Linked DNA regions of Nothobranchius furzeri. The protein of the gene in region 3 purifies or fractionates together with the protein of the main gene of each other region. This does not show direct contact. Links are inferred from orthologs where the notes say so. Each region holds a gene or a part of one and is shown on either strand. Other genes may lie near its edges.

Evidence for each region.
Region 1: the proteins of dldh (region 3) and dlst purify together in Homo sapiens (affinity purification with mass spectrometry; 3 studies listed by BioGRID and IntAct, counting the BioPlex papers as one, with this or other methods). This does not show direct contact. The link is inferred for Nothobranchius furzeri from reciprocal best matches to the Homo sapiens genes DLD and DLST.
Region 2: the proteins of dldh (region 3) and dlat purify together in Homo sapiens (affinity purification with mass spectrometry; 4 studies listed by BioGRID and IntAct, counting the BioPlex papers as one, with this or other methods). This does not show direct contact. The link is inferred for Nothobranchius furzeri from reciprocal best matches to the Homo sapiens genes DLD and DLAT.
Region 4: the proteins of dldh (region 3) and pdhb purify together in Homo sapiens (affinity purification with mass spectrometry; 3 studies listed by BioGRID and IntAct, counting the BioPlex papers as one, with this or other methods). This does not show direct contact. The link is inferred for Nothobranchius furzeri from reciprocal best matches to the Homo sapiens genes DLD and PDHB.

The regions. Positions count from the first base shown.
Region 1 is NC_091758.1:32,792,368-32,799,956, reverse strand, and holds the end of dlst (dihydrolipoyllysine-residue succinyltransferase component of 2-oxoglutarate dehydrogenase complex, mitochondrial), read right to left. Parts: coding exon 7,488-7,589; intron 7,406-7,487; coding exon 7,232-7,405; intron 7,062-7,231; coding exon 6,976-7,061; intron 6,885-6,975; coding exon 6,787-6,884; intron 5,770-6,786; coding exon 5,639-5,769; intron 3,573-5,638; coding exon 3,499-3,572; intron 3,428-3,498; coding exon 3,344-3,427; intron 3,253-3,343; coding exon 3,085-3,252; intron 2,893-3,084; coding exon 2,758-2,892; 3' UTR 2,208-2,757; downstream 1-2,207. Other genes in the region: rps6kl1 (ribosomal protein S6 kinase-like 1), read left to right, coding at 1-1,062, 1,139-1,228, 1,356-1,438, 1,527-1,622, 1,690-1,800. UniProt on the Homo sapiens protein: Dihydrolipoamide succinyltransferase (E2) component of the 2-oxoglutarate dehydrogenase complex. The 2-oxoglutarate dehydrogenase complex catalyzes the overall conversion of 2-oxoglutarate to succinyl-CoA and CO(2).
Region 2 is NC_091750.1:45,047,903-45,056,163, reverse strand, and holds the start of dlat (dihydrolipoyllysine-residue acetyltransferase component of pyruvate dehydrogenase complex, mitochondrial), read right to left. Parts: upstream 5,477-8,261; 5' UTR 5,329-5,476; coding exon 5,086-5,328; intron 3,624-5,085; coding exon 3,522-3,623; intron 3,447-3,521; coding exon 3,322-3,446; intron 3,231-3,321; coding exon 3,077-3,230; intron 1-3,076. Other genes in the region: dixdc1b (dixin), read right to left, coding at 7,668-7,677, 7,761-7,840, 7,969-8,077, 8,174-8,261.
Region 3 is NC_091754.1:40,921,510-40,929,565, reverse strand, and holds the start of dldh (dihydrolipoyl dehydrogenase, mitochondrial), read left to right. Parts: upstream 1-2,576; 5' UTR 2,577-2,688; coding exon 2,689-2,727; intron 2,728-3,446; coding exon 3,447-3,522; intron 3,523-4,626; coding exon 4,627-4,706; intron 4,707-4,838; coding exon 4,839-4,907; intron 4,908-5,017; coding exon 5,018-5,087; intron 5,088-6,763; coding exon 6,764-6,864; intron 6,865-6,960; coding exon 6,961-7,104; intron 7,105-7,183; coding exon 7,184-7,285; intron 7,286-7,551; coding exon 7,552-7,742; intron 7,743-7,817; coding exon 7,818-7,988; intron 7,989-8,056. UniProt on the Homo sapiens protein: Lipoamide dehydrogenase is a component of the glycine cleavage system as well as an E3 component of three alpha-ketoacid dehydrogenase complexes (pyruvate-, alpha-ketoglutarate-, and branched-chain amino acid-dehydrogenase complex).
Region 4 is NC_091743.1:78,887,757-78,894,721, reverse strand, and holds the end of pdhb (pyruvate dehydrogenase E1 component subunit beta, mitochondrial), read left to right. Parts: intron 1-1,339; coding exon 1,340-1,450; intron 1,451-1,607; coding exon 1,608-1,699; intron 1,700-1,778; coding exon 1,779-1,920; intron 1,921-6,161; coding exon 6,162-6,307; 3' UTR 6,308-6,660; downstream 6,661-6,965. UniProt on the Homo sapiens protein: The pyruvate dehydrogenase complex catalyzes the overall conversion of pyruvate to acetyl-CoA and CO(2), and thereby links the glycolytic pathway to the tricarboxylic cycle.

The DNA.
Region 1 (7,589 bases), on a different chromosome or scaffold from region 3:
GTTTGTGTTTGCACTCCAGTGAAACTCAGGAAAAGCCTGCTCTTCCTCTCCCTTGCACTCGAGTAAGTCAGGCTCTTGATGTCATGTCAGAATTCCATAAAAAGAACGTGGGAATGGGGCTGATAGAGTGCAGTTCGGACTTTGAAGCAGCTTGGAAAGCTGCAGATCCATCACACAGCTGTGAGAAAACGAACCCCTATGCAGCGTTGGACAATAACTTATCAAAAATTGTTGAAGCAACTACAAATCAGACACCTCTCAATAAAACAGGATCTCCTGCAGGTCAAAATGAGGTTCTGGGTTCCTCTCCTGCCATTTTACACCTTCCTCTCCATTGCCAAACCCAAATCCATGGCAGGGCATCATGGGATACTAATGGCTCCCATAAGGGACCTTTTTTAAATTGTACCTCTGCAGAAATAAATACAGACTCAAAGCAGGACTGCAGCAGTCCAACAGTTGAGGAAAAAAATGGGATGATAGTTATCAGGAGCACAGACAGAGCTGTGTTTTCTGACCACACGGATACAGACACCACCTCAGAAAGATCTTGGACTTCCTCTGCTTACCTTCACCCCTCGAGTGCAACTACACAGGGGGCGCTCTCAGGAGTCTCACTGGGCCACACTGGGGTCATTTATAAAAGCGAAACAAGTTCCAATAGAAGAAAAGAGAGCATAGAAGTGGCCTGCGAAGTTCTGAGTCCCGGAGACAAGAAGTCGACTCTAAAAGAGAGATCATACGTAGGCTGGTTCTCCTCTGGCTCTCTTCAAGACACATCCCACGGGAGCAGAAAGGATTCAGTGGGTTCCCTTAAACCAGAAGGATCAGATAGGAATGCAGATGATCAGATTATTGAGGTGGATGGCTGGTGTCATCTGCCGCAGTTTCCTGCAAAGACACCCCGACCTGGAGATAATTCCATGCAGACCTACTGGGGGCTTCCAGAAGCAGAGGTGCGTGTGTGGGGGGCACAGATCCTGCTAGCTCTGGAGAGTCTGCACCAGCAAGGCATCCTGTGTCGGGATCTCAACCCTAGAAACATTCTGCTCACCAGCAACGGTGAGAGAAGCAAATAAATGTTCAAGGATTTTACAAATACGAGTGTTTTTGAGTTTAACTTGACATGTTTTCACAGGAAAAGTGTGTTTGACGTTTTTCAGCCAATGGAGCGAAGTTCAGTCAGAGATCAGCAGCAAAGCCATGGAAAAGATGTACTGTGCTCCAGGTAGTGACACCCTAGTGCCACCTAGTGGTGAGATGCAATTAGCTCACGACCGCCACATAAAGAGCATTGAACATTAAACTTTCAATGCTTTTTGAGCAGAAACATGATTAATTTCTTTTTGTGGCAGAAATTGGGGGCGTGTCCAAGATCACAGAAGCTTGTGATTGGTGGAGTCTTGGAGCTTTGCTCTTTGAACTTCTTACAGGAATGGTAAGATATTTAGGCCAGTAGGTTTTATATTCTGTATCACGGCAAACTACAGTAAAGGGAATATATATGTATATTTGTATTGCTTCAGCCGCTGTGGCAGCTCCATCCTGCAGGAATCCACTCCCATACTCAGCTGGTGATCCCCGACCACCTGAGTGCTGCAGCTGCATCTCTGCTCACCGAGGTTAGCCATCAGTATCCAAACAGGGGTCTGTAACCATGCTTCAATTCTGAACCTTTTCACCTTGCAGCTGCTCCAGTTTGATGCTGGCTACCGCTTGGGTTCAGGAGGTGGAGGTGTGAGTGACATCAAGTGTCACCCATTCTTCAGCAGCGTCTCATGGAAGGCTCTGTCTTGCTAGCACAAGTTGGGACTTGCAGATAAACTCTCTGCTGGAAGCATCTGACCTGCCAGAAGGAATGTAGCAGACCTCAGCTGCACTTTGTGCTTTCCATAGAAAACTACGAAAGTTGAATAAAAGTAAAGACACATCCATAAATCTAACATGAATCATGGATTTATTCAATTCATGCAATAAAAAATAAGGTAATTTTACCAGCTTTAGATTTGTTCCTGAAGCAAGAATCTGCCTCAAACTAAAGAAAATATGTTCATCTTATTTTAATGAGTTGCTCTGTAAATACAGGTAGATTTGCTAAGCACTTCTAAACCTTCTGTGTGTTTATGTAGATGCTCAACTAGTTTTTTTTTTGTAGACTTGCTAAAAAAAATTTACTAACGTGAAAAAATAAGCATCCAAACAAAAACTACAGTTGGGTAATGAAGCTTTTATTGTTTAAAACGTTGCTTTTCTCTCTTGAATACTTTAACTCACACAGCAAGAAGTTTTCCTCATCCTCCACAAACCAGATGGCATAAAATCTGAGGATTTCTTCACTCTGGAGACTTTAAAACAGCATTTCTAGTTTTCCAACCCAATATGTGCTCATTGTTCTTTTCTCAACCAGAATCATAAAATTATATCGCTGAAACTTTAATTGCGTGTCATCTCACAACAGGTGTTTCTTTTCTCAAGCTTCGCGTAGAAAATGACAAATGCAAATAAGTTATAGAATTTCTTGTTTGATCCAACGACCAGCACCAGAAACCTCAGAGAGACCCAGAACAGGACCAAACCTTTAATCCTTGCCAGTCTTACAAATGTCCATTGCACAACCCAACTGTTGCCAGAAATAGATTTTCCTAGTTAACCAATAAGACGATACATCAACTGTAGTTATGGTAATGTTCATTGAGTGTTTACACAGCCGCTGTTGGTGTGGGAAGTGGTTTGGTTGGGCCCGGAGCAGACGAGGGTTCACATGTCAAGGAGGAGCACTCTGGGGTCCTCCACCACCGACTTGATCTTACGTAGGAAGGTGACAGCCTCTCTTCCATCGATCAGACGGTGGTCGTATGTTAGCGCAACATACATCATGGGACGGATCTCCACCTAGGAGGAAGAAAAGTAATCACTGAAAAATGACCAATAATTATTTGCTAAATTTGTAAACATATGCAACATTTAAATGTGACCCCCCCCCGTTTACTTGAGAATGTAGCCTGGTTGCTCATAAATAATGGAGTAAAACCTACAGTTGTTTAAAAGCAGACACGTTTCAGCAAATGACCAGAGGATACAAACCTTGCCTCCGACTGCAACCGGTCTGTCAAAGATCCCGTGCATGCCCAGAATAGCAGACTGTGGAGGGTTGATTATCGGTGTGCCGAACAAGGACCCAAACACACCACCGTTGCTGATGGTGAAGGTGCCTCCGTCCATGTCTTCAACAGCCAGCTCATTCTTACGAGCCTAAAAACAACATCCAGACCCAGTTATGCAAACATTTCATCACTTTTCATGCAAACGTGTACAATTTAAACAATTTTAATACGATAATCACCTTTTCTCCCAACAAATTGATTGCTTTCTCGATGTCAGTAAAGTTCATCCCCTCTACATTTCTTATGACGGGAACCACCAAACCCTGGAAAAAGAGAACATAGCCGAACGTTCTAGCTCTTTGTTTTTCCTTTCAGTGAAATCCACTTTTCTTACCTTCGGTGTAGCTACAGCCACACTGATGTCGACATAGTCCCTGTACACAATCTCTTTGGTTGTATCATCAATCACTACAAACACAGAAAATAGGATTATTATGATTTAACTTCTCCAGATTAGACTATTAATCACCACTATATTTCTGGCAAGATCAAGTTCTTTCCTTGTGAACCGCTTTCTGTCACATGCAAAGCTAAGAGTTGTGGTAAGTGAACCCACAGGGCATTTCAGATCTTTAAAAGGCATCAGCATGCACCACCCTAGCTTCACTGTGGTCTACCTAAATAGGTCAGAGTGGTCTAGAGCAGTGGTTCCCAACCTTTTTCCCAAGGGACCCGTTTTTTACCAGTAAAATTGTTGACGACCCCCTCCCATTCTCTCTTCCAATAAACGTTTGACACATAAAAAATACACTGAGCAAAATGTACTTAAATGTGTATATTACTGTTTTAGGGCTGAAACGATTCCTCGAGTACCTCGAATAATTCGAGTACAAAAAATCCTCGAGTCAAATTCTCTGCCTCGAGGATTCGTTTAATTCATATTTAATTAATTTGTGGCTTTGCAGTCGCCCGTGGTCATGTTTCACCCAGACTGAAATAAGTGACGCACATGCCCACTGGACTGCACACGCGAGTAGCGAATGTAACTTAACTTTCTCTTAAGCCATGGCGGACAACGTGGACCCCGGTGGAGTGCGAAAAAGACAGAAAATGTCAAGATGTGGGACCATTTTTCACGTCGTTAGGCGGAAAACGTACTCCAGTGTAAATACTGTAAAATGGATTAAGCCTACCACAACACCACATCCTCCATGCTGCAGCACCTGTAAATGTCTCTTCTGCAAGCGGACTCGGAGCCTCTACAAGATAATGCATTTTAGCCTGTTTTTCTATATATTCTGTGGACACTGTGCGACTTTTTCGTTTGTAGCAGTCAGTTTCAGCTCACACCGTACGTCTGGTAGCAACACGTCGGACTTAAAATGTGCTAAAAATAGCAGTTTTTACACAAAACGTCGGACTTTTTATTGTGTTATTGATGTTTGTTGTCCTTCGGGATTGCTGCAGGAGGACATGGGTATTTATGAGAGGAAAACGAAAGAAAGTAAATAAATGTTTTGTGATCAGTATAATTTGACAAAACCACGGCAAACACGCTTTCTCGACAATCCTTGTTATTGTGTGAGAAAAAAGTGTTGAAATTAAAACGAACGTGTGTTAATAGGGAACAGCCGGCGAGCTGTTTGCGCATGCACCGTGAGCGGTTCTGGTTCTGTTTGGGCCGCAGCCGCTCGCAGCGCTACTTCAACAGTTATCCTCCTAGTTTTTGTCTGGCTTGCAGGCTAGCAGATTCTCGCACGAGGGGAAAATCGGCTCAGGTTGTGTACTTATTTTTTGCACAGCCATTTGTTTACTGTGAAGTAAAGTTGAAGTGCTGAAGTTTTGAAAACTAATTTTGAATAAAACTTGAAGAATAACTGGCAATAGCTTGCTCATTTTAAGAGGTCTTTCATATTTTATAACATGCTATTTGATAAAATGGTTTACAAATACAAAAGGGTAATTTATTAGAGTACTCGATTAATCGAAAAAAATATTCGATAGAGTACTCGATTACAAAAATATTCGATAGCTGCAGCCCTATACTGTTTATACTAGATTATTTACTGTAAAGGCTGTGATTAATCAACCAGTCCTATCTTTAATGAACTTTTGACACTTGAAAATAAAACAGTGAGCTGAGCAAAATGTTCTTAAAAGTGTGTTACTTTTTCTGTACTAATTATTTCCTGTCTTAATATCAGTAAACTTTTCACTCATTAAAAAAAATGTGAGCAAAATGTGGGCTATAAACAAGTAATAAATGACGTTTTAACCCCTTAAAGTGGAGAGGCCCTGGCGACCCACTGAGAGGCTTTGGCGCCCCCTTGTGGGGGTGGGGACCCCCAGGTTAGGAACCACTGGTCTAGAGGAAGTAAATAAGTTAGAGATGGCTTTGAGGTTGCTGAAATTAAAAAATAATACATTGAAACTTTCTTCACTACACACACACTTGACGTGACTTGACGCCACACATGCAGACGTTCCAAAACTAACACCAACATGTTGAAGGTTTCCAGAGGTAAAATCTTTACCGGCATTGACAGCAGGTTGGTCTGTCAGAGCGTACGCAGCAGCCTTTACGAATGCGGACATGAAGCCCAGCTTGATGTTGTGTTTTTTTAGGAAAGCATCCTTGTACACCTTTCTCATCTCCGTGATGTTGCTGCAGGAATAAAAGCAGGAAAACACAGAAATCCATCAACACTTTTCAAACGCTTTAAACAGGAAGAAACAACGAGCTGAAATTATTCTCTTGAGAAAAATATTTTTGTTAACTATGAAATCACGGCTCTACAGCTATAGTGGGGGAATAGAGCTATTAAAAACGGTTGCTAATTGTTTCAGTATTGCTCATTCTTCACTTGTATCTCTCTTTTTAATTGTTTGTTTTCCTGTCTCTAACCCTGTTGAAGTTCTAGGGTTTCTCCGCTAACGGAATTAGCCCCTCCCAAGACACAGACTCTCCGAGAAAGGAGAGAAGAAGCGATAAAAATCTTCACTTTCTAGAGCCTGTAAATCTTATTGGGCTGTCATAAAAGCCCATATCGGTTGAGGCAGCTCTTCCACTCAGAGCGCGGGTCTCTGTGGGCCTCCGCAGATGCTCCGGCCTCCTGTTCTGACCAGTTCCTTCGGCTCCAGATGAGCCCTAGACTGGGAAGTCTTCCTCCAGACCGTCAATGTCAATCCAATTAGGATGCACAGAAAACCCTGAATAGCTGAAAGCCGACACCACACATTTGCAGGGAAAAGAAATCCTCAAAGTGTCCTCTTCAGCACAGGGTGGCAAGTGCACACAATAACATTTCCTTGTAAATTAATAAAACCTGTTTTAACAAATCTTATCTTTGTTTTAGATGGAATTATGACCAAATATTTACATTCCAGTGTTTAAGAGGATATTGGGTTTCAAAAAGCTTTTCCTATTGGGAAGATTCCAATCTATAACCATTTGTGGGAGTGTTGTTAAGCCTTTTAACAGGAGCTGGAAGTGGTACTCGTCCTGGAATCTTGTTTGCAGCAAAAATACATACATTTTCTAAAAGAATTAGACTCTTTACACTCAGTGTGTGTGTTCCACTTATGTGTTTATGGTGAAATCAGCATATTATTGTATTAAAAAAAGCAGCACGGAGGGTTTAAATAGGTAGGCAAGTAGGTCAGTTAAGTGAGAATTTCCCACCTCATGTCGACCTCATTAAACGTAGTGAGCATGGCACAGGTGTTCTGGGCTTCCTTCAGCCTCTGGGCAATTCTTAGTCTCATGCGGTTCATCTTAACCTAAACACACACGTTATTAGCCACATTAAATATTTCACAACTTTTTTTTTGCATGAACGTGTCATTAAATCAGTTTAAACATTAAATTTACCCTGCTCTCTGTCCTCGCTGATTTAGCCCCTCCTTCTGCCTGAGCTGATGGTGCAGTCTGAGCAGCAGTGGGCTTAATGGCTGACACTTTGGGAAAGAGAGATTTAAAAAAGCTCTCAGTGTGGCTGAAACAGCAACGAAACACTGTTTACAGAATCCCAAACAATGATTAATTGTTAACGTTAGAGGTCAAGAACACAGATGTCAAGCTAATCAGTTTTCACGAGACCCAAGCTGTCTGGTGGATGACTACTAACCTGGTTTGGTGTCCATAGCATGTGCGGGCACAGGTGGCACAGGGGGCATGGTGGTGGGAATGGGGCCCACAGCTGAGGGGGGAGGTGGGGGTGGTGTTGGAGCAGCAGAAGGTGGAGGAGAGGCTGCAGCAGGAGCCTCAGATTTAGGAGCTTCTGTAGCTTTGGGAGCACCAGCTACAGAAACAGGTATGGTAATACAGATTTTAAACTTTTGTCTAAAATCTTATGTTTTTGTTAAAAATCCTGCCCAACACACCTCCTTTTTTGAGCTTGAAAAGTGGTGTTCCTCCTTCAACCTTCCCCCCATCTGGAACCAGGAGCTCCTCAATCACACCAGCAGCAGGAGAGGGAACCTGCA
Region 2 (8,261 bases), on a different chromosome or scaffold from region 3:
ACCAGCTCATCACTCTCCAGTGTGTCCTGAACTAGGATCGTCTGTAAAGGCCAAGTTAGTCGTGACATCACATGCGACGTCATGTGAGCGGTGTTGGGAATGACGATGATCTACAAGCACATTAGATTTTACCTTAGTGACTGAATTGTTGTGGCGACTTGGGATAAAGCGATAAATCAGGCTGACAATGAGCTGATTTAAAGTCCGGCACATCTGCGGGCAGCCCAGTGCCGCTGCTGATTTTTATTTATGTATTTAGACTCTTTAAATGCATTGGCTTAATAAATGCTCTAAAACATAACTGTCAACTGATTTTTCTTTCAGTTCACATGCTTTTTAATAATACCGGGCCTGTTTATTGATCTGTTTTATTAAGTTTGATTTTGCACAATTTGAAGATGCAGGAGTTGGAAAATTTCAGAGTTCAAAAACCAGTTCAGGTTCAGAAACGTTGAGCATCAGCTAGGGCTGAATGATATTCAAAAACGCATACAGATAAAGGAATATTCATAATGATCGATAATTACTCATAAATATTTTTTACATGTAGAAAATATATTTTAATGCTGCCCTGGCCACTTTATGCTATTCCTTAATTAACTACTTTAAATAAAGAACAGAAAACGTAGTTAAATTCAGTATTTTATTTAAACATCTTTATTTTACCAGGACTGGATGGTTACAGGAAAAGAATGAATTGTGTGAGTTTTTCCAGAAAAAAAATAAAAATCAATATTTCAGTTCAAATCCTGATTTTCTTCAAATCAAGGTTCAGCTGCAGCACATTATCCCCCACATACAGTGATATTTACAAATCTGACTTCCTACCATCCTGTTGTCATTCACTGCCTCACTTTTCAGTAGCGTTGTTTATTTATTTCTTCCTCTTTCACCGATTTGTCCGCACCGATATTTACTCGTCCCTCACGTTAATGTAATAATTGCTCCTGGCATTCCGCGCACACACGTCACAGCGATCGAAAGCGAGCTGCCCATCTGTGTGTGTGTGTGTGTGTGTGTGTCACTCACTTTGGCTCCTCCAACTGTAGCTATTTGGCTTTTCACATGTTCAAACACATTTCTCTGGAACTCGTAAATCTCCGAGCGTGTGGGTGGGGCAAAAGATACGCAGAGAAGTCTGTGCCGTCTTTCTTTATTTAAAGTGACTGTGTGTATTTTCCCTGGCAATAGGGGGAAGTACATACCTAAATCATTGCAAGTAAGCAGTATTTATGTGTTTGAGTAAAACCTTACTAATGGATGGCCTTTAGGGTCAAAAATTCCTGGAAGCATGGACGTAATTTTGACTTTAGATGTAGGGGACACAACTGGCATGAGGACGGGTGGTGGGGTGGTGGTGTCTTTATAGTAAGTATACAAAACATATGTATAAAACTAGTCTAGAGGCTCTTTTATGCAATGTCAAGAATGCAGAACTGTCAAGTACACAGGTGGCAGGAACGGCCAATCACATGTTAGCAAGTATCAGCAGAGCCAATAGCTGAGCTTATGGACGGTTCTAATAGGAAACAGGCTTCACCACAAGCAGTTGTTTTCCGCTTGGTCCTAGTGCTCACCCAGTGTCTATTTAGCTTCCTGGTCATAACAAATAAAAATCATCGATTTGCCTACGCTACAATAATTATAAACTTTTACAAGCTGATGAATCTCAAAGTAGGTGACTGGCATAGTTGAAACAGTGTTTCAGAAACACCCATCATTACTTTTCATTTAAACTGCAGTACAACGTGTGTGTGTGTGTGATCCAGGGCGTAAGGCAAGGCAGATTAGAAAATAGCGTTTTTAGCCCCGTTGACTTGCAGTCATTTTTTCGTTCTTCCGGGGACCCGTGAGCCGACCGGAAAGGGAGGAGACTTAGGCTCCCTATAGCGTTATATTGTTTTTGGACAGTAAAAAGTGCAGATGACAAAAAGTGACTTTGGAAAAGGTGGGGGGACATGTCCCCAGCCCAAAACTACATCCATGCCTAGGAGCATAACTTCCAGCAGAATGACAAGCACATCAGACCCCCTTTCATCACTGGTAACGAGTGAAAAAGTAAATGTGTAAAACAACATTTATGAATGGTGAACGTTTTGCAACCGTTTGTTACAAATCAATAAATACGTTTTGTCCTCACAGGCTGCCGTAGAAGTAAACGAGGCATCTAATATGGCATCGCCCAGAGACTTAGACCCGCTACCGTGTATTTTAGACCAGATTTTTATGGTGATATGTTATGAAGCCGCAAATGTTTTTCAACAACTGGGCATTGTGTTAAACAACATTTGATGGATATTTTCAGAGAATACCGGAAAAAACTACAAATTTTCTCATTAAGCAAAGATGTGTGTGAGCAGTATTGCTTTTGGAGCCTTCTGATATGAAGGATGCTGCTTACGACTCTCTCTCAGTGAGACTCAAGAACCACATGCTGTCTGTCTGGGCTTGAGAGGGGAGGGCCTGGTGACAGAGCGTGCCTGGATCGGTGTTGTTGATTGGTTGGGAGTCTAGTATTAAGCAACCTGATAGGCTCAGGCTACATGAAAAAAAAGAAATCGACGTTTTGATTGACCCATTTCTTTCTATCGCACCACATGTCTATCGAGTTATATTGTCCAGCCCTAGCATCAGTTGTTGGTATCAGTGACCTTTAAGCAGGCTGAGAAGGTGGAAAACATCCAGATATCAGCCCCCAAAATCTGCAGCTCATAAAATAACCATGACCTCTACATCAGCATCGGTATCGGGAATGGAAAAACCCATTTTGGTCTAGTGGCAGCCATCTTGAACTGGACTGACTCCAAAAGTAAATCAGTTGTAGACGACCCTCTGATGACAGTTTCACTAAAATCAGTCAAGTGGTTCATCAGAGAGGTTACTGTCTGCTATCCAGTCGATGTGGTGGAACTTTTATTTTTATGGAAGCAAATCCATCCACAGTCATAAACGTGTGTGTGTGTGGGGGGGGGGGGGGGGGGGGGGGGTCTCTGCTTTCATTTTCGAGGAATTCAAGCTGCTGTAAGAATCCCTCAGCTCTTTTATGCCACCAGAGCTCCCATCACAACCAGCCTACCTTCATGTGGGGGGGGTAGGAGCTGCCTGGTGCTGCTGGAGGAGCAGCAGCAGCTGATGGAGGAGGAGCACCAGAGGTAGCAGCAGCAGGAGTAGCACCAGCAGATCTGATGGAGTCCAACGTTACATCTTTAAAGGCTGTGATTAGATCTGGGCTGCAGATGAAAACATATTAATTATTATTAATATTATAACTTTAATTCACCACACATAGATCTAAACGATGTAAATGATAAAGATACCGACCTGTCGACGGTGATGCAGATGACTGATCCAACGACGACGTCTCTGGTGCCTTCAGGAACCAGGATCTTAGCCAGATAGCACTCCTCCAGCATCTCGAACCCTACAGTGGCTTTATCAGTCTCCACCTACACACACACACTTTATTTACTCAACAAATCGTGATGATATTTCAGTTATCTATGATCCACAGAGCTCCTAACCTCAGCGATGAGGTCGCCCTCACTGATCTTTTCCCCTTCCTTCTTCTCCCAGCGAGCAATGGTCCCGGTCTGCATAGTAGGCGAGAGCGCCGGAAGCTCCACCTGATGAGCCGGAAACAAATCCAGGTAAAAACAAACAAAAATACGCTTCATAACAGGAGGATCCCAATCCAGCCGAATGTCAGGTGATGTGAGCGCAGCTGCAGTGTCACCCCATCCCAGCTTAATGAATGACCCACAGGCCTGATTTCCTCACATCTGGGTGGACTTTATGGTCACTGCTCTGGGTCAAGAGACATCCAATAGCAGAGATAAGCAGCAGCTCCCAGCGGAGGGTTCCCAAATAAGTATGCAACAATCCAGGAACACAAAATCAGGGATCAACCAGGACCCACTCCTTTAAATGTATGTGTAGCGTGGATGGATCGTGTTTTCAGCTTCAGCAGATTGTTGAAGTCTTTTTCTAATTACAGCTTCTTGAGATAAATCAAAATTGGCCCAAACTTATATCAGCAGAACCAGAATCTCATTTTTACCTGATAAAGTTCTCATTTTTGTTAGTAAGCTGTTTTAAAACAACTCGTCTAACTGTTGTGAACAGAAGCTTTTTGAAAACGTCAACATAAAAATCTGATCTATTCTTTTTGAATAACAGTGAAATGTAAAGTAGATTCTGACGACAATCTGAGCATCTTTCTGCAATAAATGCATGCATCATAGGTGTTTGTTAAGAACAGAATAAACATGTAATAAAACAAATAAGAACAGTTAAAGTAGTAGTTAAAGAAATGATTCCTGCATTTAGACAAAGAAACGTTTTGTTTTTTCAGTCATTCATTCAACCAATTCAACCAAAATCTCATTACTTCAATTATAAGAAAATAGTTATTTATTTAGTTTAACGGCTAAAACCTAAAATGTAAAAACATTGTCTACATGTTCAAAGTAAAATCACCAGGAAATGTAAGTAATACAATAAATAAATAAACGAGATCTGTGTTTCAAATTCAATTCAAATTCAAAAATACTTTATTAATCCCAGAGGGAAATTGATAACTCCTGATCACTGTTATTCATCTGGGCGAACACCCATCCTGTTCTTTAAGCTTCTCCTTTTGGTTGTTTCTTTCCTTTCAGGCCATTTTAAAGTAGTTTATGGTCAAATCTCATGAATATTTATGAATATAGCGTCTGGATCTGATTCACAGAGTTTTAATGCTGAGAATCTTTAGTTTGTCCTTGTTTTTCTATTATTAGTGTGAGCATCATCACCGCCCCTAAAGAGCAGATTTCAGACATCCTTCCTGGATATAAACACCAGCGGGATCTATCTGCTGGTGGAGATGTTCTGATGGAAACAGCAGCAGGTCTGCTGCTGCAGCACATGTTTAGAATTATTTAGAGTTTGAAACATCTGATGTTTCATCCTTTAGCTACTAATGGACACATTACACCGCCACCGCCTCGTTATGGAGCTAAGTGCTGCTGTTAGGTGTACAGGTGTTTTAAATCTATCGGTACCGGCTCTGACCCGGTGCCAGAACCGGACAGCGGTTAACGTTACCTTCTGGTGCGGCGGCAGACTGTAGAGACGCTTGCTTTGGCCGCCGCCAGCCGGGCGGGGACACCGCACAAAGGTCGTTCTGTGGCTGAAGCCCAGGGCCACTGTTCGGTGTCCGCTGTGAAGACGCCTGAGACACCCGGTTCCGGACACGGAGAGAGAGCCGAAGGCAGCAGGCCCAGCCGGTAGGACACGGGAACGGGAGACACCGGGACACGGCCGGAGCCGCAGCATTAAACGAAGCATTCTGCTGCGTGTGGAATCGAACACCTGTCTGATAAATAATTTACCTGCCTCACAGCGGCATTAGAGACGAGCTGGCAGTAAAAACCCGGCGCTCCGACTTTACTCCTCACTTTCTAATGACCTCCTCCTGTCAAAAACACACGCTTTACGGCACTCCTGTCGCTGCTTCAAATCAAGTGTCGTAAAAAAAGACACTTCAAATGAAACAAGATACATTTCACACGAAGCCATGATTATAAACAAACAGTGCTAGTTGTGAAATATTAAAGCAGATTACAAATTTTGTTTATTTAAACTTTAAAATATTTTAGATCTACAAGGTCAAACGGTGTAATATCCTCAATTGCCACACGGGGGCAGTAAAAACAAGCATAACCCAGCAACTCTACTACTTCCAGTTCATTTTGAGAATTCTTTACATTAAAACTTTAATTTTAATAACTGACCTGGTTTTTATAACCAAAACAAAGCAAGGTCTACGACTGTAAAACATCTTATTTATTAAACACATTAGAAAACATATTGAGTTGTGACCAAATAAGCAATATCAATATCATTTAATCAGACAAATCTAAAATATATCTACTGATGAAAATACAGCGATGGAAACCAGAAACATAAGACTGCTATGAAAAAAAATCTGTTTTATTTCAAAATATCTAACATTCCTCAAAACGATTTCTTCAACATGTTTTAATCAGACAGTATCCATGTTTTGCTAAAGAAAAAATCTTTTAACAACATAAGTGCAAAAACACCATCTCGTAAACTCTATATTTACAGTACAGGCAGTTGCGGCATTAAAAACATTCTCATCACATCTCCTCTCTTTGTGTTGGCTCACGTTGACCTAAACTGGAAAAAGACAGGAAAAGATCTGATGTTTTTTCAAACATTTCAACTCACAAAGACAGGCGCATTGCAAGCTTTTCAAAAGTGTGGGGGATGTTGTCTGTGGATGTCATCAGCTGTAAATTGAAACTCAACCCCAATCCAGTAACGGGTCCGCGCATAATTCACAGTAACAAAGCCCTTCCAAAAACATGCTAAATATTCACCAATCAGTGCTTAATTTGAGCCGGGTCTTGCCGGAACAAGATCCAGGAACTATCTTATTTTGAAACAACCGTTCCAGCAACTGTCTGCTAGGATCTGGCAACTCACGCGACAAACTTGTGCTATACAGAGGATTCGCATTACGGGTGAGCTAGGGAGCTTCAGGGGGAGCCAATAACGATCCGGGTTCTACTTATATTACATTATTCATGTGGCCTCTCCAGGGATTATTTTGACCTGAGAGGTGCAGAGCTCTGATCGTTGATGCGCTCCAGACAGATGCGTCCTGAGCACGGCCACAGTAAAATTCTCAAAGTGTCACCACCTCAAAAACAAATTTAACAGGCGATCATTCATGTCGGCTCATATCCTGAAGCGGGGAACAGTGAAGATGCAAAAACTACCATTGTTAGAAGGTTTCTGCCAATGTCGGGTTTCAAGGAGAAACAGGAGAGGGAGGGGGAGAATGAGATGAGGCAGAGTGAGTGCGAAGTAGAGAAACCAGACTGGTGTGTGGAGGTGGGCAAAACGGCTGGAAAAGTGTGGGTGTTGAACGATCTCAATAAGAAAAGTGGGTGTTGAATCCCCCACATCCCCCAAGGGTGCCACGCCCATGCATAAAGACTCAAATACAAACCATAAATAAGCTGATTACAAAACAAGGCTCCTCAAAACATTAAAAATTGCACCCAACAAAAACCAAATGAAGGTTTCAACTAATAATCTCTATTTGAACAAATAACAAATATTTTCATTTCTTCAAATAATAAAATTGTGGATAAAATCATAAAACAAACCCTGAAGTTAATCCAAAAGAAGTGATGCTTTTGTTTTTACAATGACATCAAAACACAGACGAGCCTAAAATACATTTAGACCTTAGTTCTGTTGACAGCAGATGCTCTTTTCAGCCTACATTAAACTAAAACTATAAACAGAAAAGTGTCTGGATTCAGGTCATGCACTCGTGTAGACTCAACCTCGCACTAACACCTCTATCAGAACATCTGTTCCTAATCTTTAATGAATAAGTGGCTAATGCTGCTGATTCTGATGCACCATTGTACCAGACTACACGACTGAATCTGGGGTCTACGAGGCCTCGCTGGTGCACGACACCAAACACAGAGAGACTTTCTGTCTCACCTCCCGGAGCTAACAGCCTGAACCACAACACTACTGCTACAGTTACGGCCTGAGTTCAGGCATCAGCAGGGCGAACAGCTCTGGTGGTTGTCTCTGGGTGATGAACAGCTGATCGATGACACATCATGGCTGTACACCTACAGCGGCCTAAAACAGAAAGAGAAAACAAGCTTGTTTTAAACCAGAGCTAACATAATTAAAGGAAACCCTCAGACGTGACATCCTGTTACCTCTCCTCGCCACCATCCTCTTCCAGCCAGGCCACGATTTTTCCCTCCCAGCCTGGAACGACTGCTCCATCCAGAAACACCTTGATAAACAAAGCAATGACTTCACATAGTGTGAATGTTTAGATCTGCTGCAGCACAGAACCAGACTCATCCCACTGAGAGTCCAGTGAAACCCTGCTGTGGCTGAAAAACCCCAGCTGTTCCTTACCTCCTCTTTCACCGTGCCAAACTCCGGGTCTAGAGCTTTGAAATGATATCTGTAGTTTCCCTCTCGATCAACAGCTGCCTTCACATCTCTGAGCGTCACCTCACCAAGCCTGAGCAGAGGAAAATCCCTCTCCTCTAACATCTTACAAATCTGAATTCTGACGTTAAGAACGCGGTGCTGGTGTGTCTGAGACGACCAGACTCACCTCTTGGATACATGGATCATGGAGGGTGTCGGAGATTTACCAGTAAAGTACAGGATTTTAGTGGAAGGAGGTGGGTTACTGTGAGACT
Region 3 (8,056 bases):
TCCATAACATTATCTTCCATCATAGTCATTTTCTTATCTAATTTACATTTTAAATAATTGTTAATGTACAGGGCAACGCCACCACCCCTTTTATTTATTCTATTTACAAAATGAAGTTCATACCCTTCTATTTGTACTTCAGTCATCCCTTCATCATAAAGCCAAGTCTCAGTAATGGCAATGACTTTGAATTAACTTTTAAATTTACCTAAATAATCCTTTATTGTTGACATCTTGGAAACTAAACTTCTACTGTTTATGTGTATGATTGATAATGAATCATTGTTAATTATCCCACTATTTAGAGGATCTTCTGCATAATAATTACTATTTATATTTAACTCAAAAAAACTTTCATCTATTTTACTGTGAAGTTCATATATTTTCTCATGGGAATCCATTTATTCTTTATGAATTCATTTGTACTTCCATATCCATAGTTAAACTGATTCCACTATCCATTATTTAGCCAGTGCTACACAATAAATCATCTTTTACCCTGGAACACTTCTAGATCTTTCAACTCTTTGATCATTTTTGCATTTAGACCTTCTTGCTCTCTACAACACCATTTCTCGTCCATGTGGCTGTGATTTTTTTCTGTTTTCTCAGCACCCTTGCTTCTTTGGCTATTGTTTCATTCTTTTTCGTCAGGTGTTCATTTATGTACACATTTGTACCTTTCAGTTTTTTTTTTGCTTGCCTCAACAACTCATTTCTGTACTTCCTACTGGTAAATCGCACTATGATGACTGGTTTTAAGGCGACTGCCTTTCTTGGAAGGGTATGACAGATTGATATTGCTTCACTTTGGATATTAATGTTCTAACTGTGCAAGAAGCTCAACACTTGTTGTTCTAGTGACTGGAGTTCTTCCTGCGGAGCATCCTCAGTAGTATTTCCATCTCCAGTAACTCTGGCATAAGTCCTATGTCTTGTTTCCAAACCAGTTATCACCAAGTCTTCCCTTCTGGTATACTGCTCCAGTTCATCCACCCTCTGTTCCAATACATGATCTTCTTGTCCCTTTCTGCAAGCTTGAATTTCAGTGTCTTGACCTCGTCCATTAATGATAGTAGTTGATCCTGTTGTACTGTTAGCTTAGACAGCTCGGCTGACATAAAATTAAATGCTTTTTTAAAATTTCCTCCATATCTTCCTCGAGTTTCTCCGTTTTTCTAGGAGGGACCATTGTATTAGGCTTACCTCTCTCTCGGCCCTGGTTGCCGGTGAATCTGGAGCCTGGAGCCCCAGGCTGAGCCTGATGGTTGGATCAGGTGGCTGGTATTGAGGTGATGGTGGAGCCTGGCTGCTGGGCCTGGAGGCTGCTGGGCCTGGAGGTTGCAGGGCCTGGAGTCTGCTGGGCCTGGAGGCTACTGGTGTAGTAGGCAGGCTGCTTTGCCTGGAGGCTGATGGTGGAGCCTGGCTGCTGGGCCTGGAGGCTGCTGGTGGAGCCTGGCTTCTGGGCCTGGAGGCTGATGGTGGAGCCTGGCTGCTAGGCCTGGAGGCTGATGGTGGAGCCTGGCTGCTGGGCCTGGAGGCTGCTGGTGGAGCCAGGCTGCTGGGCCTGGAGGCTGATGGTGGAGCCTGGCTGCTGGACCTGGAGGCTACTGGTATAGCCAGGCTGCTAGGCCTGGAGGCTGATGGTGGAGCCTGGCTGCTGGGCCTGGAGGCTGATGGTGGAGCCTGGCTGCTGGGCCCGGAGGTTGCTGGTGGAGCCTGGCTGCTGGGCCTGGAGGCTGCTGGTGGAGCCTGAACCTGAGCAAAAACAAGACAACGGTCATTGAAAGCTTCTCCGGATCACTAGATGGTTAACCAACCATAGATATAAGCGTCGTGGTCAGCAGAGATAGAGGTAGACCAACAAAGGCTGGAGATTCTCCTTGTTCTCCGCACCGACTGCTGTCCGCCGAAATGCCCAAAAGTGAGTGGGAGCATGTTAACAGGCCGTTAGCATGTGTGTCTTACAACCATTATTAAGAAAACACATAGACGTAGTAGATTAATACAAAAGCATAGCTTATAGCGTATTATATTAACGCAACATGTAATGTTTTATTTAGGCGATACGAGGCTCTGTTGGCTTATATTAGCGATCCAGCTTTCGCTTCATTCAGCTCATTTGACAGTTTATCTTAGTTTCAGCTTACTTCAGCTATTCAACAACTTCAGCAATCAGTTACCAAATTTAGCATAAACTGCTAATTTCACAGTTCAGCTAAATGTAAAGATTAAATTGTTAAACTTGTCCAACTGGAATAACAGGTTTTAAGACATTTTAGCTGTTCAGATTTTTATACGATGTTCACAGATTTCAGTTTTTTGCTATTTAACATTATTTTTCTCTATTCTTCACTTACTTTTTGTGCTTTATTTGCTTGTTTGTGCTTTTTGCTTCTACATCTTTCAAGACATTCAGCTCATTTTGACAGTTTTGCTTTGTTTCAGCTTCAGTTCAGCTGTTCAGCAGCTTCAGCTTACAGTTTCAGCTCTCCAGCATTCAAACAGCATTTGTGCAATAAATGCAAATTTTTCTAGTTGAGGCTTGTTTTGTTGCCATAGTTGATGGCCAATAAAGTTTTCTACAAAAGGAGCTTGGACGCCTACTGCGCATGCGCATTACCAGGAGTCCTTGGCTGCTTGCTCTACTCTAGGTTACTTAGCCGGTCAGAGACACAAACACACAAAATGCAAAGCTGGACGCAGCTTTATCGCTCGGTGACCACGGTAAGGATGATAATTATTACTACGTTAGGCTCCACGTGTTGTCATTAAAGATGTCAGGCTGGTTTCAGTCGCTAAGGGTGTGTGAGTGGTATTTTCGTACTCGAGCTATGCTAGCTGACGTGCTAGCTGCTCAGTTAACTGAAGTTGTATGTAGAACATTTATCTCAGTATATTCCGCTGGGAAAGTTCATATCACACCGCTGTTGTACTACGTGGCTTAATGTGCCATTTGATACGTTCTCAATTTGCACATTGTGTGTGAGTCAAATCTAGTGTAGGTGGAAATCACAAATGTCAATGAAATCAGGACTTTTGTAATACTTTTCGATCACCATGTGCAATTCATTAACAGTAGAGTATGTCTCTGTGATGTATCACGTTTAAATCTAACTGTATGTTTAACATTTTGTGTTTGTTTCACGTCTGACTTGTTTCCTCACTGTTTTAGCATGCTAAGACTGCTAGCTCCGGTTCCCATGTAGCCTACATGAAGGACCTATTATCTGTCCTTGTTATTCTTTATAGTATTCGCTTTTCAGAAGCATTTTTGCTTTAGGAACTAAACAGTGCTGTCGTTGGTAGAGCCCTCTGCATGTTTAGCAAGGGTAAATATTCTGTAAAGAAAACATTTGAAGGTTTAAACAGGGAATTAAAACCCACATAGTTTATCAGTTTGTTTTGGTGTTTCATCAATAATGCTTGTGTGATTTGCTTCCCAGCTGAACCACCAGCTCCCCTACAAGCTGCACGGAGCTGCTACTGTGTCCGTCCGAACTTTTGCTGACAAAGCAGCAAGTAAGAAATCCTGGAAGTTTGATCATTGAAACCATGAAATCTTGTTTCATTCTATTAGTTTAAATATAACACAAGTCCTCATCAAAGTTTTTTGTCCCAGACAGACAAGGCACTTTCACTGTGATGTTCAGACCCACTTTAAATGACTGTTGTTTCTAAAACACACAAACTTCAGACAGATGACCATGGGATCATGCTTTCCCTACTAATATGAATTCATATTAAAGCTAAAGTACATTCAGTAGATATAATTTTGAGATTTCAAACCAGGCATTTACAACATGTTCTTTGGCAGTCGGCCTCCTGGCAGCAGCTGCTCATGAAATGGTTCAGATGGTCAGTGAGAGGGTGATTGTTGGTCTGTATGAAGCAGGGTTGGGGCCCAACACATGGAACCACATACCGGTACATCAGGCCGTGATTAGGGCCCAGATCTGATATTCCAGGTCATTTTGGGACGTTTCTAAGTGACGTAAGGCCTGGGGTCATAATTGTTTTATTTTCTGTTTCCCCTAGAATAAAATGCCACATTTTTTTAAACATAAAGTCCTAACAATGAGAGTATTGTTGCCATCTCATTGCAATAAGTAAAGTCTCTAGTAGGGATGTCCCGATACAACTTTCACTTTCAATACGATACTGATATTGCAGCCTTCAGTATTGACCGATACCGATATCAATCTGATACGATATCAGCACAAATCATACAGACTTTGACCTGTGTCATAGTGTAGAATGTATGAAAGGCTGGATCAAGTGATGGTACTCAATCGGAGAGCCAATAACAGTATTTTTTTCTTAACCATTGGTTGCAAAAATGTGAACTTTAACAGACTGCTTATATCGGAGATTTTTGATGCCGCGCGACATAATCCGATAGTGTTTATGGGCCGCTATCAAATTACTTCCGATATCGATATCATAATGGGACTTCCCTAGTCTCTGGAGTCCCTCTGTCAGACTGCTTCTCTCGTTTCTTTAGAAGTTTTCCCCGACAGCGGAGTACATCTTAGCCCCAGATCCATCCATGTTGTCGTAAATCCCAGGGTGTGTGTTCTGTGTTTCTGCTGTTGTGAGTGAGGTTTTGGTGTGTTTCCTTTGTAGTTGATGCAGACGTCACAGTGGTCGGCTCTGGTCCCGGAGGATATGTCGCTGCCATCAAAGCTGCACAGCTTGGTTTTAAGGTGAGTTTCCTCTGTGACACAAACACGGGAGTACCCGACCTGCTGCTACTTCTATCCAGTGAACCTTGAATCCGCAGAAACTGGTTTCTAAAATGAATACGGGTTTTCTAACAATTGGATTTCCTTTGGCAGACAGTTTGTGTTGAGAAAAATGCAACACTGGGTGGGACGTGTCTAAATGTTGGCTGCATCCCCTCAAAGGTAAAGAGCTGGTGTCTGTGTTGATCAGGAAGTTAAGCTTGTTTAGACTCATTTAGTTAGACTTTATGAAGTAAAATCCTTGGATTGATTAAATGTTTTGTTTTCTGTAGGCTCTGCTCAACAACTCCTACTTGTACCACATGGCACACGGCAAGGACTTTGAAAGCAGAGGCATCGAAAGTAAGACGGGACGATGTTCTTGACACACGTTTTACATTTTATGAGGCTTTGCAGGCTCGACCGGGTTCCACAGCAGTTTTCAGACACACGTGAAAACTGAACAGGCGCAACCCAACTGGCTACAGAGCTCTCAAACCTCACAGACCAAGTGAGACGTGCATCTTCCTGAATACTTCTGCAGCCAAGTGATGGCTCGTTCATACGGGGCACTAGGGGGCCGTCCATCCTGAGCTGAAGGCAGAAGAAGTTAAAGCACTGCATCACACTCCGATGCTTTACTTTTGTGTTTGTTCATTTTAAAGGCTCAAGCATGGAAGTCTAAAAACTCAAAAGATAAATGAACCAAACCAGAACTGGTTTCTATTGAACTATAATGTACAATACAGTGTATGCTCCCCAAGTGGTGAGCTTTGTGCTCTATGTTCTTTGTCCCCCAGTAGGTGGTGCCGGTGTAAAACCCACGCCGGTAGCCCAGAGAACACGAGACTCTGTAAAGCACGGGTGTCAAACTCAGGCCCTCGGGCCAAAGTTGACCTGTGATCTGTTTTTATTTGGCCTGTGAGATCAAATATATATTAAAACCATTTTGCCACAAAGACCACAAATCTCATTGTGCTTTGCAGCGTTAGCGAGGCAGTAGAAGCGCCCCCTCCTTTCTGTTTACGATCATTAGCATCCGTGCTACTAGAATCCGCGTCTGCAGCGATGCCATCCTCGGCCTCAAACAAGCTGATAATACTCCTCAAATCGCCGAGTTTACTCTGCAGTTTGCTGACTTTTAAGTCCAGAAATTGAGATTTCAGCCGCTCCGCAGTCCGTCCACAGCTGACATGGAAAGCTCACCAACCCGGCCTTAGCTGCTCAGGTTCTCTATGTTCAGCAGCACTTATCTCCGTGAGCAACTGTTGTCTGTGAGGAAGATGAACAAAAGTCTCACTGATGAACTCCTTCTTAGCTTAGAGTCCAACCCCACAGGTGCAGGTCTGGCTGGAACAGGTGAGCATCGCAGTAAATCAGAGTGGATTAGTTAGTTTTCATGCACTTTTTCTGCTCCAAAGCATGAAAGTTAATGAGATATTTTCATTTAAGAGAATTGCTATTTTTTTGGTTTTTGTTGTTGGCCTGTAAAAAAAGATGAAGCCTACTCTAAAACAGGAAGTGGAAAGGCCACAGATAGAAGAGTAGAATAGAAACAGAACAGCAGCAATAACATTCATTACAGGAGCAGAAAAGGAGAGTAAAAAATAAGAATAAAGAGTAAACAACAAGAAAACAGAAACTAAAAGATTCAAAAGGTAAAAATGTAATAAATGCTGAATAAACACATTTGAAGGAATAAAAAGTTTTAAAAAATCGAGACATAAGTAACGACTGATGTGTTTAAGATTCACTTGCTCGTGTGTAATTTAGTCGTACCAGATTCAGTGTTTATGTAAAAATAAGTTTGTTTCCAAATGAGACGGTTCAACAACACACATCTGTAGATGAAGGAACATGTGCACATTTCTCGTCACTTTTCAATAAATGTTGAGTTTGGCCCGCTACTTCGTCCCAGTTTCTCGTTTAAGCCCAGTGTGAATTTGAGTTTGACACCCCTGCAGAGGATGCACACAGGAGGTAGCAGAGGTGGAACTGCTGGCTCAGCCGTGGAGTAACTGCTGATGTCCTCCTCTCAGTCTCAGGCATATCGTTGAACTTGGAGAAGATGATGGCTCAGAAGAGCGGCGCCGTGAAAGCTCTGACCGGAGGAATTGCTCATCTGTTCAAACAGAACAAAGTCAGACTCTGGTTTGATTTTATGTAACGCATCAATAATAAACAACACTATCAGGTGTTTTGATTGACATACCTCCTGTGATGGGGTTCTCATCAGGTCACCCATGTGAACGGCTTTGGAAGGTTAACCGGAAAGAACCAGGTCACCGCCACGGCGGCCGACGGCTCTGAGCAGGTCATCAACACTAAGAACATCCTCCTTGCCACTGGCTCTGAGGTCACTCCCTTCCCTGGCATCCAGGTACCACGTCTTCTGAATCATTTGTGTCAGAGGCTTCAGCTCCCGCTTTATAAAAACGGGAAACATTATGTCTCACCAGATAGACGAGGACACGGTTGTGTCGTCCACAGGAGCGCTGTCCCTGAAGAGAGTCCCAGAGGAGATGATTGTGATCGGCGCGGGTGTGATTGGAGTGGAGCTGGTCAGCATCACTTTAGTGTCTGAAACTCTCCGAGCCTCCCATCATGCCGTGCTGCTCGCGGGGCTGAAAACATTCATAGCTTTATTTGAATAATTCTGTTAAGATAAATCTGAGTGCAGCTTTTGCTGAACAGCTGCTGTTGCACATTTATTCCCGAGTACTTGATAAGTAAATGAACTATTTATTAAAATTCTACATTACTGAAGTATTTAGTTACTACAGCCCTACTGAGAGTCTCTGGAACAGCAGACTTTTGTGTCCTGCAGGGGTCGGTGTGGCAGCGTCTGGGCTCTAAGGTCACAGCCGTGGAGTTCCTGGGCCACGTGGGTGGCGTAGGCATTGACATGGAAATCTCCAAGAACTTCCAGCGCATCCTACAGAAGCAAGGGCTCAAGTTCAAGCTGGGCACCAAAGTTCTAGGAGCTACCAAGAGGCCAGATGGCAAGATCGATGTGGCGTGAGTCTGCTGACTGCAGAGTCTGGATAACGTTGTGAAGTTATGGATCATAAAGTATTGGCGGTGCTCTTTCAGGATGGAGGCTGCAGCTGGGGGGAAGAACGAGACTCTGACATGTGACGTTCTGCTGGTTTGCATCGGCAGACGACCGTTCACCCAGAACCTGGGTCTGGAGACCATCGGCATCGAGCTGGACAACAGGGGCCGGATACCCGTCAACGGTCGCTTCCAGACCAAAGTACCCAGGTGAGTCCAGCCCGGTCTGATTTCACCAGATTTACCTAAATGAAACTTCACACGTTAAACTAGGGCTG
Region 4 (6,965 bases), on a different chromosome or scaffold from region 3:
GCAGGATGAGAGACAAATTTAAGTCCAGTTTTAGGGTTTCTCAACCGCTTACACACGCGCGCACAGTTAAACCTCCTCCACATTTTACCACGGTGTACGGTGTTACCATGAGTAATTAAAAATTATAATGCAAGACTCAAGTGGCATTAACAAACAGTTGGGTTGGACCTTGACCCTTCAGAAACTGAATCTCAGATACTGTCTAAGGCACGGGTGTCAAATATGCGGCCCGCGGGCCGGATCCGGCCCGCAAGCGGGTTAAATCCGGCCCGCGAGACGGTTGTGTAAACTTTATTTTCATACTTTACAATGTAGAGTGAAAATAAACTTGTCATTGTGAGCAAGTTTTCTCTGTAATGAGTATAAATAAAACAAAGCTGCGCTCAAGGCTCACACAAGAACTTGAATCACATCCTGAAGTTGGCTGCCACTCAGGATGACTGGCATCCTGAGTGGCAATATTGATGTGCTGGTGAAAGCTAAAAGATGTAAAGTAAAATGAGTCAAATATTCTTTAAGTGCTGCATGGAACTGATCTTGCCATGTGATCTGTAAGCTCTTTGAATCACTAAGGAATGTTTATTTGTTGATTTTTTTATTTTCTATTTTTTCAAATTTTCAAGTACACTTCAGGTGTTGTACTTGTACTACACTGTCCTCAGGCTACAGCCTCGTTTTATATTGATTGTATTAAAACAAAGAAAACAATCTGAAGTTTTTTTTTTTTTTTTTTTAATTTACCGGTCCGGCCCACTTGGGACTAGATATCCCTCAATGTGGCCCCTGAGCTCAAATGAGTTTGACACCCCTGGTCTAAGGAGCTTTGAAAGAAAAGCGTCTGGACTTCTTTGAGTTGCTTGAAGACGTTTCACCTCTCATCCGAGAGGCTTCTTCAGTTCTAAGGTCAAATGGTGGAGAGTCCCAGATTCAAACCCAGTGGGAGTTTCCCCCCAAAGAGGGAACAAAAGACCCCCTGATGATCTTCTATCCGCACTGTCACATGATGACATGATGATCATAAACTTTATGGAACGCCTCCAAAAGTTTTTTTTTTACTATGTGAAGTGCTTTGAGACGACTTTTGTCGTGATTTGGGGCTATATAAATAAATTTAAGTGAAACTGAAAATGTAACATCTGTTTTACATATTAAATGACTTTTTAAAATTTTCATTTTTGTCTCATAAGTGCACTACATTGTTTTCATGACAGCATTGACAGAGCTATTCAGCAACTGTATACGCTATTACCATAGTACCACCAAAGAATATTGCACGTGCACATGCACTGTGTAATTACAACCTAAGAACGTCCTCAGGTGAGAACTTTTTCTGTTGCAGTTGTGTTTCTGGAGAACGAGCTGATGTACGGCGTTCCTTTCGAGATGTCTGAGGATTCGCAGTCCAAAGACTTCACCATTCCCATCGGCAAGGCAAAAATTGAGAGACAAGGTGAGAGTGATGTCCTCTTTCCTGTGGAGACCAAAAGCTAATTTATTTTCTCAGCGGTTGTAAAAGCAGTGAGCAGGAAAAGTGAAGAAATCTCAGTGAGGCTTCAGGCTCCGAGACCTCTTAGCATCCTCGCTGACTGTCGGTGTTCTTTCACCAGGAAATCACGTCACCTTGGTGTCTCACTCTCGGTTTGTCGGTCACTGCCTGGATGCTGCAGCTGTCCTCGCTAAAGAGGGAATTGAGTGTGAGGTAGACAAACACAGTTGTAAGGTCATCTTCAAGTCACCTCTTCAGCCTGTTAGCGACTTCCTCCATCTCTTGGTTTCAGGTCATCAACCTTCGGACCATTCGCCCAATGGACGTGGAGTCCATTGAGACCAGCGTGATGAAGACCAACCACCTGGTGACGGTGGAGGGAGGCTGGCCTCAGTTTGGAGTCGGAGCTGAGATCTGTGCCAGAGTCATGGAAGGTAGTGAACCGATACACTATTTGTAGTATTAGTATACATTATCAGTAATAGAAGTAGTAGTAGAAGAGCGCGGACCGTTTTGCTGCCGTGCATTGTTTAGGCATTGTGTGCTGGGCGCTTCCCTTTTGTGCATCTGTGTGTGTGTGTGGAGGGGGGGGGGGTCTCGTATGCATGGCACCGCGCCACGCTGAGCCTATGTAGGGGAAACACTGCGATGTGAAACCTCAACTGGTGACTCGTTGGATTTAGAACCCATTTGCAGATTTGGAGACCCTTGTACACAGGGTTCCTGTGGGGACTTAAAACGCCCTAAAAGCATTTAATTTAGGAATTTGGAAAGAATATCTTTAAAAGTCTTTAAAAAGTCTTGAATTTTGACAACTGGGCCTTAAAATTTGTATGTAAATATTGTATTTCTCCTCTTATGTTTCGTTTCTCAACCAAAATCATTTTTATTAAATAATGTAGCATATATAAGGAGTGGCGGAACCAATCATTGAGAACGCAGCTCAGCCTCGTGTCAAAGTATTCTAAACGCGTGATGTATTCAGCTCCCGCGCTACAGCAGCGATACTAAATGGTTAACATAACACAGACCTCCAGCAGAGGAGGAATGCAGAAAATCTCAGCAGACCAGTAGAAAGGCTGACTGACGCCTAGGGCTGGGTGCCAGAACGCTGGACCTCTTTGGGACTGAGTGAAAACATTCGGTAGGTACCGATATCAGAACAAAGTATAAAGCTGTCCCAATGTGCAACCGTGGGTCACATGACTGATCCCAAGTCACATTACAAGTGGTGGAGACGCGTCTCCTTTTAACAGCGCTTCTCTGCAGTTCGAAAAAGCTAAAAATCCATTCTAAATGCAACACCAGTGAGATTTGTGCTGCAAAAATTAGGAATAGTAGCAATTTAACAAATCACATCATCGTGCAGGGCATCATGGAGAGCTTTGACCGCAAAAAAGTAAACCCTTGTCCATCACCTTCCAAAACACAGGAGGAGTCTGAGGATGGAGGCTGATAAAAGCAGAAACGGGACATAAAACCAACTTAGCTGCTGTTTAGCAGCATTATAAATGCAGTTCAGCAGGTTGTTATTACTGCTGTTACTGACATGAAGTCAAGCAAGAGTAAAGACTGTTCTATAGGCAAGGCAAGGCAGCTTTATTTGTAGAGCACATTTCAAACACAGAGGCAACTCAATGTGCTATACAATTACCAGGACATGATATGAAAACAACATAAAAACACAAATTAAAATACACACAGATAGACTTACAGTTTAGAGCTAAAGGAGAAAACAAAGCTACATCACAGATTACAGAGGAGACGATGCCGCATAAGAAACAATTCATGTAAAGGCTGATGAGTACATTAGGGTTTTTAGTTTTGTTTTAAACAACACTAGGGTTGCGGCACATCTGAGGTCATGGGGAAGCTGATTGCGTATTTGTGCAGCATAGTAACTAAATGCATCTCCACCATGTTTGGTTCTGACCCGAGGTTCTACCAGCTGATTGTTTCCAAGGGATCTCAGAGCCCTATTGGGTGTATATACAGGAATGAGATGGGACGTGTATTCTGGTCCCATGCCATTGAGTGATTCATAAACTAGTGGGAGCACTTTAAAATCTATTCTGTGGTTTACTGGTAACCAGTGTAGGGATCTAAGAACAGGAGTGATGTGCCCCGTTCTCTTAGTTCTTGTTAAGACTCTAGCAGCAGCATTCTGAACAAGCTGCTGTTGTTTCACAGCTTTTTTGGAAGACCAGTTAGGAGACCATTGCAATAGTCCAGCCGACTAGAAATAAAAGCATGAATAAGTTTCTCTTAGTCTGGTCTGGACATGAGACCTCTGACTCTTGATGTTAGATGGTGATAAAACACTGATTTAGTTATGGCCTTAATATGTCCAGAGAAGCTCGGGTCTGAGTCAATAATAACACATTGAAGCGTGATTAATGATTTACATTATCACTACATATTAATTATGACCAATAAGATGTGATATTCCATACAAATATGAAATATCAACTTGACTGATCTTTAATGTTTAATCAGAAGATTCTAGGGTTCTTTGCTTCTTCAGGGACCATAAACACACTTTGTATTACTTCAGACAGAGTCAGTATATAGTTTATAAAATGAATTATTTTACTAAACTAATGATTATACATGACAAGATATGAATAATGAGATGTGGTGTGATGGAAGCTAGATGTTCAGCAACCGTTCTTTGTATCTGAGAGAAGTTGTCTGGGTTGTAAAAGAATTTGTTGTTAGAGGGTTGTTTGTTTATAAACTAGAGAGTTGTTTGTTTATAAACTAGAGAGTTGTTTGTTTAAGCTCATCAGACGTAATCTGTGCCAGTCTACACACCCTTGGTGTGGAGGTTCTCGTTCGATCCAGGGGGTCGTGCTGGTCACTGCTGATGGAGTGGACCTCTGATATCAGGAACCTGTAGACAGCTCTGATAGGACCCGTCCAGTCTGAAGCCAGGAAGGTGGAATGCTCATTTGTGTCCAAGGTGGATGTCTGAGAGTTGAAGTAGCTTGCTGCGTCGCAGAAAGGTTTTGACTAAAGGTCAAAGGAGATTGTTTCAAAAAATGCTTCTTTCCCGATTTGGTCGAATTGGGAGTCAGCTGGAAACTGAATCTTAATCGGGAAGTAATTCTTGTTTATTAAACCACTTTGGCTAAACTTGGCCAAAACTCATTACAATCAGAATTTGACACGTTTCTGAGTATTTACCAACATCCCTCAGAAAGCCATGCCCTCCTCAGATACACAAGGTTTTAACCTTAATGAGTATCTTATTGTAATGGTGTATGAGTGTAAACAATGATTAACTTGTTAAATCAACTCATACTGATTTGTGATATAAATGGATCGTTGTCAGAACATTTTATTGATTTAAGCACAGATTATTCAAACATTTGATGTAAACATCTTGTTTATTCATCACATATGATTATTTAAGCTTATAACTGTAAAGTCATGGAGTCTTCGAGTAGGTTTGATCTGTATTTAAGATGAGGAATCAGCAGTCTGGCTTCTACGCAGAGAGTGCAGGACCTTGGGTGAAGCGAGGAACAAAAAGTTGGCAAAGGGTTGTTTTGGGTCCCGACTGATGGTGCAGCCTTGAATGTATATGAAAGTTTATGTTGTGTCAATTAGATGGTGAAAAATAGACCCTTTTGTACGTTCCAGCCTTTACTGTTTGCACTGTAGCTTTCTCTGTTGTTGCTTAACTTTTTTGGAAATAAAGTATAATATAAATAAATGTAATACAAACGATAAAAATAAAACCATTAAGTAGTTTGTTATCCTCTCATAAAATAAAAAAATTGATTTCAACAAAAGTATTGTTAAGGTACTGCCATCAAAAACCAGGTTAAAGTAGTAGCATCTAGAAATATCTACTGGCACCCAGCCCTACTGACGCGGTCATGTTAAACCTTTGTTTTACGTTACCTAGCTACTCTTTCTGTGAAAGCTCAAACAGCTCTGCTGCTGTTCTCTACCGAGTGCTTTGGCAAAATGTAATAAAAATAAATTAACACAAGTTCAACGATATTTTTTTGCCGGTAGGGCTTTGAAATAGGTATAACTTTTTATATAAGTGGTCTTGAAAAGGTCTTAAAAACTCTTGACTTTAACTTGATGAAACCTGTAGGAGCCCTGTGTATACACACACACACACACACACACACACACACACACACACGTGCTTCAAAATATATTGCGATATAGCCTTTAAGCCATATGGCCCATTCCTAATGGATTATCACTAAGGAGCGCCAGTGTTTACAAACACTAACTCCTCTAAACGCATCAATCAGTGACGTATGCGGAACACACTTCTTCGCTGATTAGATGAGACTTCTGTTTTTATGATTTATGACAAAACTGCTTAACAAACTGAAAAACAGAAATTGGTCAGCAAATTGTAAACACACCCACTTTCTACTCTTGCTTCGCCCACTAGCCTACCAGCAACCATGACGTCTCATTTTCGGCCCTGGCTCACTGTGCTCAGAACCACGTTTAAGCTGCTACTGAACAGTCAACACCGCCCGCGTGGCTGTTACTGATGGAAAAGCCGTCCAAGCGGACCAGATCAATTTGAGTGGTGCTAAATAAGTCACTGATGTTATCCAGGCTGTAGTCGGAAGAAGTTGTGGTCATGTACTTGCAAACTGTTTGTCAGTTGAGAAAATAAACTTTTCCTTTTTTTTAGGTTCTGCTTTTAACTTCCTGGATGCTCCGGTTACCAGGGTAACGGGTGTCGACATCCCCATGCCTTATGCCAAGATCCTAGAGGATCACAGTCTTCCTCAGGTCAAAGACATCATCTTCTCAGTCAAAAAAACCCTCAACGTGTAAAAACACCTGAACTCTCTGGGTTTTATTCAGATCAGCTGATCTCTCCACTTTTTCCCTTTCAAAATAAATGCTGCTGTGTTCTGTGTGGAAGTTGCTAAGTCAGCAAGTTAAAACCTGTATAAGTCAAAAATGTCTTCACCAGCTGTCTCTTGATGTTTAAATCCAGATTAATGTTCTGAGGTTGTTTTCCTTCAAACATTTCTGCAATTTCGACAGCATCAACAGAAAACGGCTGCTGGGATCCCATTATTTATTGTAACTACAGAAATAAAAGCCTGTTTATCTTTAGGTTTTCTTCCTCTTTGCAGCCTGTTCCTCTTCCTGTCGGTCTAAATAAAGATAAAAACTGTAAACTCTTCTGCTCTTTATTTTGCATCAACAAGTCATAAAGCATCAGTATAATAAAAATCACGAGCCGCTTTAAAAGAACAAATTTAAAAGAAAGATTAGAAAATTATTAAACATTAAGATGATGCAAATAAAAATTTGTGATTAAAAATTATGAAGAAAGGAAAAGGGAAAATGAATAAGAAAGGTAATCAGTGGATCCTGGGAAAGGCAGAATAAGGAAAGGGTAGTGATGAAGGTCACACCAAAAGCTGAACATGTGAGCTTTCAGCTGCTTTTCAAAGGAGACCACTGATATGCTGGTGAAGGT